Linked DNA regions of Bombyx mori. The protein of the gene in region 2 interacts with the protein of the main gene of each other region in a pairwise test. Links are inferred from orthologs where the notes say so. Each region holds a gene or a part of one and is shown on either strand. Other genes may lie near its edges.

What was found.
Region 1: the proteins of proteasome beta-subunit (region 2) and trafficking protein particle complex subunit 13 interact in a two-hybrid assay, tested with the Caenorhabditis elegans proteins (3 studies listed by BioGRID). The link is inferred for Bombyx mori from reciprocal best matches to the Caenorhabditis elegans genes pas-4 and C56C10.7.

What each region holds. Positions count from the first base shown.
Region 1 is NC_085114.1:9,433,558-9,438,068, reverse strand, and holds the start of trafficking protein particle complex subunit 13, read right to left. Parts: upstream 2,916-4,511; 5' UTR 2,395-2,915; intron 2,313-2,394; 5' UTR 2,144-2,312; coding exon 938-2,143; 3' UTR 1-937. Other genes in the region: uncharacterized protein LOC119628828, read left to right, coding at 3,166-3,615, 3,858-3,866.
Region 2 is NC_085110.1:13,656,948-13,660,495, reverse strand, and holds proteasome beta-subunit, read right to left. Parts: upstream 2,139-3,548; 5' UTR 2,062-2,138; coding exon 1,960-2,061; intron 1,882-1,959; coding exon 1,411-1,881; intron 1,203-1,410; coding exon 1,026-1,202; 3' UTR 961-1,025; coding exon of another isoform or gene 814-960; 3' UTR 751-813; downstream 1-750. Other genes in the region: uncharacterized protein LOC101743699, read left to right, coding at 69-348, 814-960. UniProt on the Caenorhabditis elegans protein: The proteasome is a multicatalytic proteinase complex which is characterized by its ability to cleave peptides with Arg, Phe, Tyr, Leu, and Glu adjacent to the leaving group at neutral or slightly basic pH.

The DNA.
Region 1 (4,511 bases), on a different chromosome or scaffold from region 2:
GTCTTCTTTTAGCGACCGGCCGCCAAGTGGTGGTAGGACCTCTTGGGAGTCGGCGCGGGTAGGCACCACCACCCTGGATATTTCTGCCGTGAAGCAGTAATGCGTTTCGGTTTGAAGGGTGGGGCAGCCGTTGTAACTATACTTGAGACTTTAGAACTTATATCTCAAGGTGGGTGGAGCATTTACGTTGTAAATGTCTATGGGCTTCAGTAACCACTTAACACCAGGTGGGCTGTGAGCTCGTCCACCCATCTAAGGAATAAATTTTTTTTTAAGAAAAAAGGTTTATTTGAGCAGCCAGCCACCTGACGCGCTTGACCGTTTCGGTGGCCACGATGGAGCTACGTAAACTGGTTCGACCTCGCGAAGATGTATTGGGTCCATTAATCCATTAAACCATTAGGCTATATTGGATTCATGCTTTACTAGAAATGCAACAAATTTGGCGAGTTCACACTTTTTTTTTTTAAGAACCAAAGTATAGGCCCATAAGCCTACATATAGAGGTGTTTTGCATATTTTGTAGGGTGGGATTGTGTCTCGAGACTTCAATCTTATGTCTGAAGTTGGGTGTGGCATTTTGGTTCGTAGAGTCCATGAGATCATCAGCCTATTTAAAGCAATAATGAAAAAACAATACTACATATTTGAAAAGATCATCAAAATCCAAGGCCACCACATGTTACAAGAAATGAGGTTGAATACTTGTACTAATTACTATGCATATTAAAACTGAACCACTATCTAATGAAATAGTTTTAAAAAGGATCCACATTATGTATATATCAACCAACACACAAAATCTAAAATGATATAAAACAAAATTACAAAAATAGTACAGAATATGTTCTGGTTTGCGTGTTCTTAGTACAGTTCAGTTTCTCAATCAGTAAAAATTTAATAATTAAAGTAAAATACATGTAATTGCAATAAATCTTTAATATACATAAACTGAAGCTAAATGATCATAATCATAAGTGCGTTTTAAAAACAAATCAACAAGTGACACACCAGTCACTTTCTGTAAGCCTGTGTTGATTGGTAAAGCAGTTAAATTTATGAATGTTGTCTTTCCGGGTTCTAGAGGCCCTAATTTTCTGTTAGAAATTCCGCACCATAGGAGACTAGAGTCTTGCGGAGAACGCAGTTTTAATATGAGATCTAAAGTTCTTTCACTGGCATTCACAACTTTACATTTAAATGTGAAAGCTTCATCTGCACATACTTTACTAGGAATTTGTTCAACTGTCAGTCTTAAGTCGTCATGATCGAGTGCCATGGCTTCCAACTGACTAGTCTGTAATCGGCCTTTCTCACCTAAGTTAGACCTCCAGACTATATCTAGTTTTCCAATATTTCTCATAGGGCCATGTGGTTTGACTTCTTTTGCCATGTTTTCCTTTGGTTTAAGCCAGTACAAGAACTGACAGCTCTCTTGTGGCTGTAATAATGTCACTTCACCAAACACTGACTCACCATTCACTTCATTCAAAGAACTTACAGTGAATTGCTGAGAACTTTCCAAAGATACTTGCTCAAATATAATGGGCCCAGATGTTATGTTGTGAACTTGTGCTTCAAGATAAATATCCCCTGATTCAGCATTATAAAATTTAGTTTTCACATCTAGTGGTTTCATGACTTCAAATTTGAAGAATTTCCGGAACGATGCTAACGTATTGTAGTTGGACATGTACGAAACTTCACATACTAATATATGTGTTCCTAAATCTTTGACCTCATGGTGAATAACATCACTAAGGGTTTCATCAACATCCAACATAGTAGGGGTAGTTCCCTCCTGTGCTGTAAGCTCTATTCTTTGTGAATTAGTTTGTAGACTAGTTATTATGGAGACACTTTGTACAGGTTGATTCGTTTCATTGTGAACACAAACATAACAAGAGAATGTTTCCCCTAAATAAATATTTCCAAAACTTTGAGGAAGTAGTAAGAATTGTCCAGCAGCAAGAGTTTCCATTTGACTGACTGCTGTGGCATCATCTTTTAGATAATTATTGAGAATATTACCTGGCAAATCTTTTGAGTCACAAGTGACGATATTAGGGCTTATCAATGCTGGCTTTGTAAGTCTCATCACCTTCAGAGCAACTAAATGTTCAACCGCTTCTTTTGGATCCATAATTCTGACTTCTAATTCTGTATCGTAAGTTTTATTACGAACGGAATTTTGGAATTTTTGAAATGTATGTGAATCTGTTTCTAATTATTATTTAATATATACACTTTATTATTCAATTGTTTGATGTATAATACGTACTGCATATGAGTGAGCACCTATTTTACGTAAACTGCAAATTAAAACATATTTATTATCCGGTGTGCGAGAGACTCAAAATTTTAGAATCAATAATTATACTACAAGTTTAATACCAAGGGCTTTATTACTGAATATTCGTTTAGAATAATATTATTTGCTTGTGTATTGCGTGAAAGTGAAATTGTGATTGTGATGTGACATTAACTGACATTTGTTCGTACTTTCGAAGTAGTAGTTTTATTTTTCTAAATAGAAAAACTAAGATATAATACCACAAGGCCTAATCTTTTATATTATTTTTTAACATGGAATATGATATTATGAAATGAAGTTAATTAATATGAAACATGGTATGAAATGAAAAGAGATAATATGGGATGAAATATAATCTCAGTAAAAAGGTGGTCATTTACTGAGATTTATTAAGTGGACTTTTTGGAGGTTTCCGCGAAGTCACGTCCGGCGGCTTTGATTCATTTTCCCATATTTGTGCACTTTCACAGATATTAAACAGTTAAGTTAACCACCGCTGTTACACATTTAAACCCGAAGAAACACTAAAAAGACATAATAAAACAAATCACACAACTTTAATCCTCGCGTTCCCGCCAAAAAGTCCTGACATTTGTTCGACACAGAGTTAGTAGGGCTCTGTAAATTTGGCCCCTTTTTTTTAATTTTCGGATTTTATTATTTTTTATTATTTGTTCGTCGTTTGTTCGTTAATGTTCGAATGTAAAAATTGTTTGTACGTCTTTTATTTATAATTAATTAATTAACAAATCTTTTATTTATAATTAATTAATTAAACAATTTCCCCCACAGTTTATCTAAACATAGGTTTAGAAAAAAATACAAAAAACGCCAACTTAAAATTTTTAAACATGGTAGAAGAAAAATGGCCACGGTGGAATTTATTTTTCACCGATGCCTCGAAATTAGTTTCAAATGGTAACACTGGTGCTGCCTTCTATCACCCAAACGCAAATCATTACAAATTGCACAAACTACCCCCAGAAACCTCAGTATTCACGGGCGAGTGTATTGCATTGATAAGTTGTCTAAAGTTCATCATGCAGCACTCAATTAACTACTCCGCGATATTCAGTGATTGTTCTAGTGCTATTCAAGCCATTTCAAAGAATCCGATAAAGAATTGTTTAGAAAATCCGCTAGTTTGTATAATCAAAAACCTGTTGTTCACCTGTCATCAAAACAACATCAAAGTTGAAATAGTTTGGATCCCTTCACATACAGGAATTCTTGGGAATGAAACTGTGGATCAAATGGCTAAAGAAGCAACACATAGTGGTGATTGTGAGTACTACGCGAATGTAAGTCGTGATCTTATTCATAATATTAAACTTAATCTCGTATCAGACTGGCAAAAGCAATGGGAAACCTACAAATATCAATATTCTAAAATAAATCCTAGTGTGTTTATCAAACCTTGGTTTTATAAGTTCAAAAAATTCAACAAGCAAATAACTAGTGTACTTATCAGGCTTCGATTGGGTCACTTTTGCTCACCACAATTTTTATTTAAGCTAAAAATTAAACCTTCTCCTATGTGTAGTTGCGGTAAATCTATCGGTACTTTAGATCATATATTTCTGGAATGCGCTCTTAATGTTGAATGCCCACCACTATATTGTTTACTAACTAACACTAACATCCCGTTCCCAGTTAATATGAACTATCTCTTAACATTCCCTAATCCTAAAGTTGTAAATGCATTAGCTTATTTTATTTCCCGCAATAACATTGAACTGTAAAAATATTTACAAATTTTTCTCCAGTTCTCATTCATCTCATCTGCTACAATCTATATCTATCTATATCATTGATATTCTATCTACCTGACATTGGCAGAGTAATTCGTAAAAGAAGAGACTCGAGCCATAAAAAAAAAAAAAAAAAAAAAAAAAAAAAAAAAAAAAAAAAAAAAAAAAAAAAAAAAATTAAACAAATGATCACCATTAATTGGGCCCCTCTTACTAGACATCTTTATTTTTATTGCTCAGATTAATTCATTTTGATCAATTATCGTTTGTTCGACGACTACTGGTGATTGTTCCATCATAAAAACAATTAAATTCCCAATTATTAATTATTTCATGTCTAATAAGTAAACCATCACCTTTTTTTTTTCGGGCCATGGGCCGAACCTACTACGAGGTCCCCGCGCATAAGGGGCGCGCGGGGTATGTGAGACTCAACGATCTGCAAG
Region 2 (3,548 bases):
ATTGTTTTTAATTATTTGTACAACACTAATTGCATTATATTATTAATAGTTTAGAACTAAAATTTCAGAAGTACGTCATCAAATGAAAGTTTTATGAATTTCAATGAAGACTCTTCTCAGAATGCAAATGATAATTTCTGTGGTCAGTTCTTGAGCATGCCAGAACTTGATCCAGAACCACTTCAAGAAAGGTCTAAGGCAAAAATATCTCCAGAGTTTTATTTTGAAAACAATAAGAAAGAAATTACTGTTAAAAGCTTGAATAGAATGGATAGTGAACAAAATTCACTAAATTGTGTTCTGCCCTCAGTTAGCAATGATCAAAATGATGATATTATCATTAATGAGGTATGTATTAACAGCTTTTCTTACTGAATCATACGAAAATTGCATATCAGTCACACTAGTTACTGCTAGTATTCTGTTAGAACTTCAAACCAGTATCTAGCAAGGCTCCACAGTATTAGAAAGAAATTAGAAGGAAAATCTCACTACAGCAGTCAATATCCAATATATTACTGAACCAGAAAAGTACTAATGGTAAACCACCTCTAATTTGTAGGCTGAATTGATCATGTGATGTTTCTGCTGTGAGAACAATAGATAATAGCTGTTACAGTTATTTCTGTCATATAGTTACAAGATTTCAAGTAAAACTGATTTACCCCTTCATATCACAAATGTATGCATTATGATGATGTATTATATGAGGAATGGACACACATTTTAAATTATAAAAATAAATCAACCTTTATGACGGTAACATGCTGTTTATGTAATCAATAATTATAAAAAATAATTTTTCATTTTCAGAGTAATCAACAGAGTCATTACAATGGAGAATGGGACCAGATGCTAAATGATTTTATAGTTAACAAAGGCTCCAGTCAAGAATGCAGTTCAGAACTAAAAGATATTTATTGTCAGATTTCAAAAACTATAGACTTGTTGAATTCTTAAGGAAAATTCAAATATTAAGAATTCCTTATGCCATTTATTTTAATAAAAAAGTTACAATTTTTAAATTACTTCTTCTGTTTCTTCTTCTCTGCTTCCTCTTCTTTCTCTTTTTCAATGACAGATACATAGGAGTTTATAGTGTCTAAGTCAAGCATCTGCATTGGTTGACCTCTTCTCATTACAGCAATTTCTAGGTTCTTTTGGCCAGACTGTACTACTTCCAAGAGTGCTCTGATAGCCAACTGTAATTTAAAAATTAGAGGATATATTAATAATATAATTATTTAATTGTGGGTGTTATGTATGAAACAGAAAATAATGTAACAGCATCTAAATTAGTAATTTAGATTAATAAGTATTCATATTTTAACATTTTATTGTTGAAGTGTCATTGCATTTCAAATTTAAGTTAATATTCAATTGTATTTTTTACTTTCTAAAGAAAATTACCTTGACAGCTCCATTCTCTGTAGCAACTTCATCAGCGGTGTAATTTTTCTCTAGAAACTCTCGTACTGTCTTTGCAGATCTACCAGTTGCATTAGCTTTCCATTCATAATATATACCAGAAGGTTCAGTTTGGAACAAGTGTGGTGAACCATCATAGTCGAATCCTCCTATCAAACACGAAATACCAAATGGTCGACGACCATTGCTCTGAGTATATTTCTGTTTGAGACCTGCTATGTATCTTGTAATATACTCCAATGTTACTGGATCCTCGACTGTTAACTTGTGTGATTGACATTCGATTTGTGCACGGTTTATTAATATACGAGCGTCTGCTGTCAATCCGGCAAATGCCATTACGACGTGATCATCCAAAAGACATATTTTCCTCACAGTTCGTTCTTCTTGCAATTTAGCAACCGATTTTTTCTCAACACCTAAGACTACCACATCGACTCCTCTAACTCCAACCTGAGAATCGAGATAGATTCAGAATTTGAAAATCCCTTACTCATCGTCAATAAACATAACCAAATTAATTGTACTTACTGCTGTTGACCCCTTTCTGACAGCTTCTTGAGCATATTCTACTTGTAATAAATGTCCATCAGGAGAAAATACTGTGATGGCTCTATCATATCGGGCAGACATGGTTAAAAATTGTTAATAATTTATGCAGTAAGAAGTAATAGGTACAATGAATTAGAAACAAACTTCAAACTCGGCTTTCGTTCACAGAATATATATGAATGATTTTATGATTTACATGACAGCATTGACAGCACAGAGAATGTACATGAAATAAGCGTATAAACATCAAATTAATAAAAAGTAAGCCTTAATAGTATTAATTAACTAACTAACTTCGCAAAGTGTATCGCCTCCAGTGGATATGTAATTCTCGTATTTTGTAAAATTAAGACGTTAACTTGCCAAGAAAATAGTATTTAGTTGTGCAGATGTTGTAGTCCTAGGGTGCCCCGCTGAATAGGACCTTCACAAGTTGTCTCCACTTGACCCTGTCTTGTGCTTGCTCCTTGACATCACTCCATGTGGTCATGGTCATGCCAGCAGCCAGCTTTTTACTGGTGATAGGACCTCTTTTGAGTCCGCGCGAGTAGTTACCACCACCCTGCCTGTATCTGCCGTGAAACAGTAATGCGTTTCGATTTGAAGGATGAGGCAGCCGTTGTAACTATACTTGAGAACTGTATACCTTGGAACTTATATCTATACGTGGATGGTGCATTTACGTTGTAGATGTCTATGGGCTCCAGTAACCACTTAACACAGGTGGGCTATGAGCTCGTCCATCCATCTAAGCTATAAAAAAAGTCCTCTCGCTCTCCACGGTGTGTCGCCAAGTGTGGACAGGGTGACCAGGTCTTCTCTGTCACGCGGTTTCCACTCAAACTCCGCTGCGCCGTAGAGTGTGTCCCAGTCCCATTTCCGATTAGTAATGTCTTGCGCGTTGGCGATTTGGTCACATTTAGTCCAGAGGTCTTTATTAACCATAAACCTGGAGAGTGACCAAGACACTCACGAACCAATTGTTAGTGTTTTTATTTAAGTGCTTGAGGTCGATACTCCGCATATTCTGGCCAGGTTTTATCTTTATTAATGTTGTACATATAGTAGCGCTTAATCCACATGAACATGATCGTCTTGTCTATTTAGTCTGACATAAACCATAACGCAAAATATTCAATATTTTGAACTATACCGAAGGACTGAATATGAAATAAAATTTGCGGTCACTTAAGAGGAAGCCAAGGTAAAGGAAGACTTTTAAGCAACTGGCCCACACCAGACTCAAGAAGCACAGACATTTACTTGTGATAGGACCTATGTTATTTCGCACGGGTAGGTACCACCACCCGGCCTATTTCTGCCGTGAAGCAGTAATGCGTTTCGGCTTGAAGGATGGGGCAAGCGTTGTAACTATACTGAGACCTTAGAACTTTTATCTCAAGGTGGGTGGCGCATTTACGTTATAAATGTTTATGGGCTCCAGTAAGCACTTTTCACCAGGTGGGCTGTGAGCTCGTCCACCCATCAAAGCAATAAAAAAAAATTTAATGACTTTAAAAGTATTTACATAGAGCCTTATATTTTAGGTAAATTGATACTTAATTTTT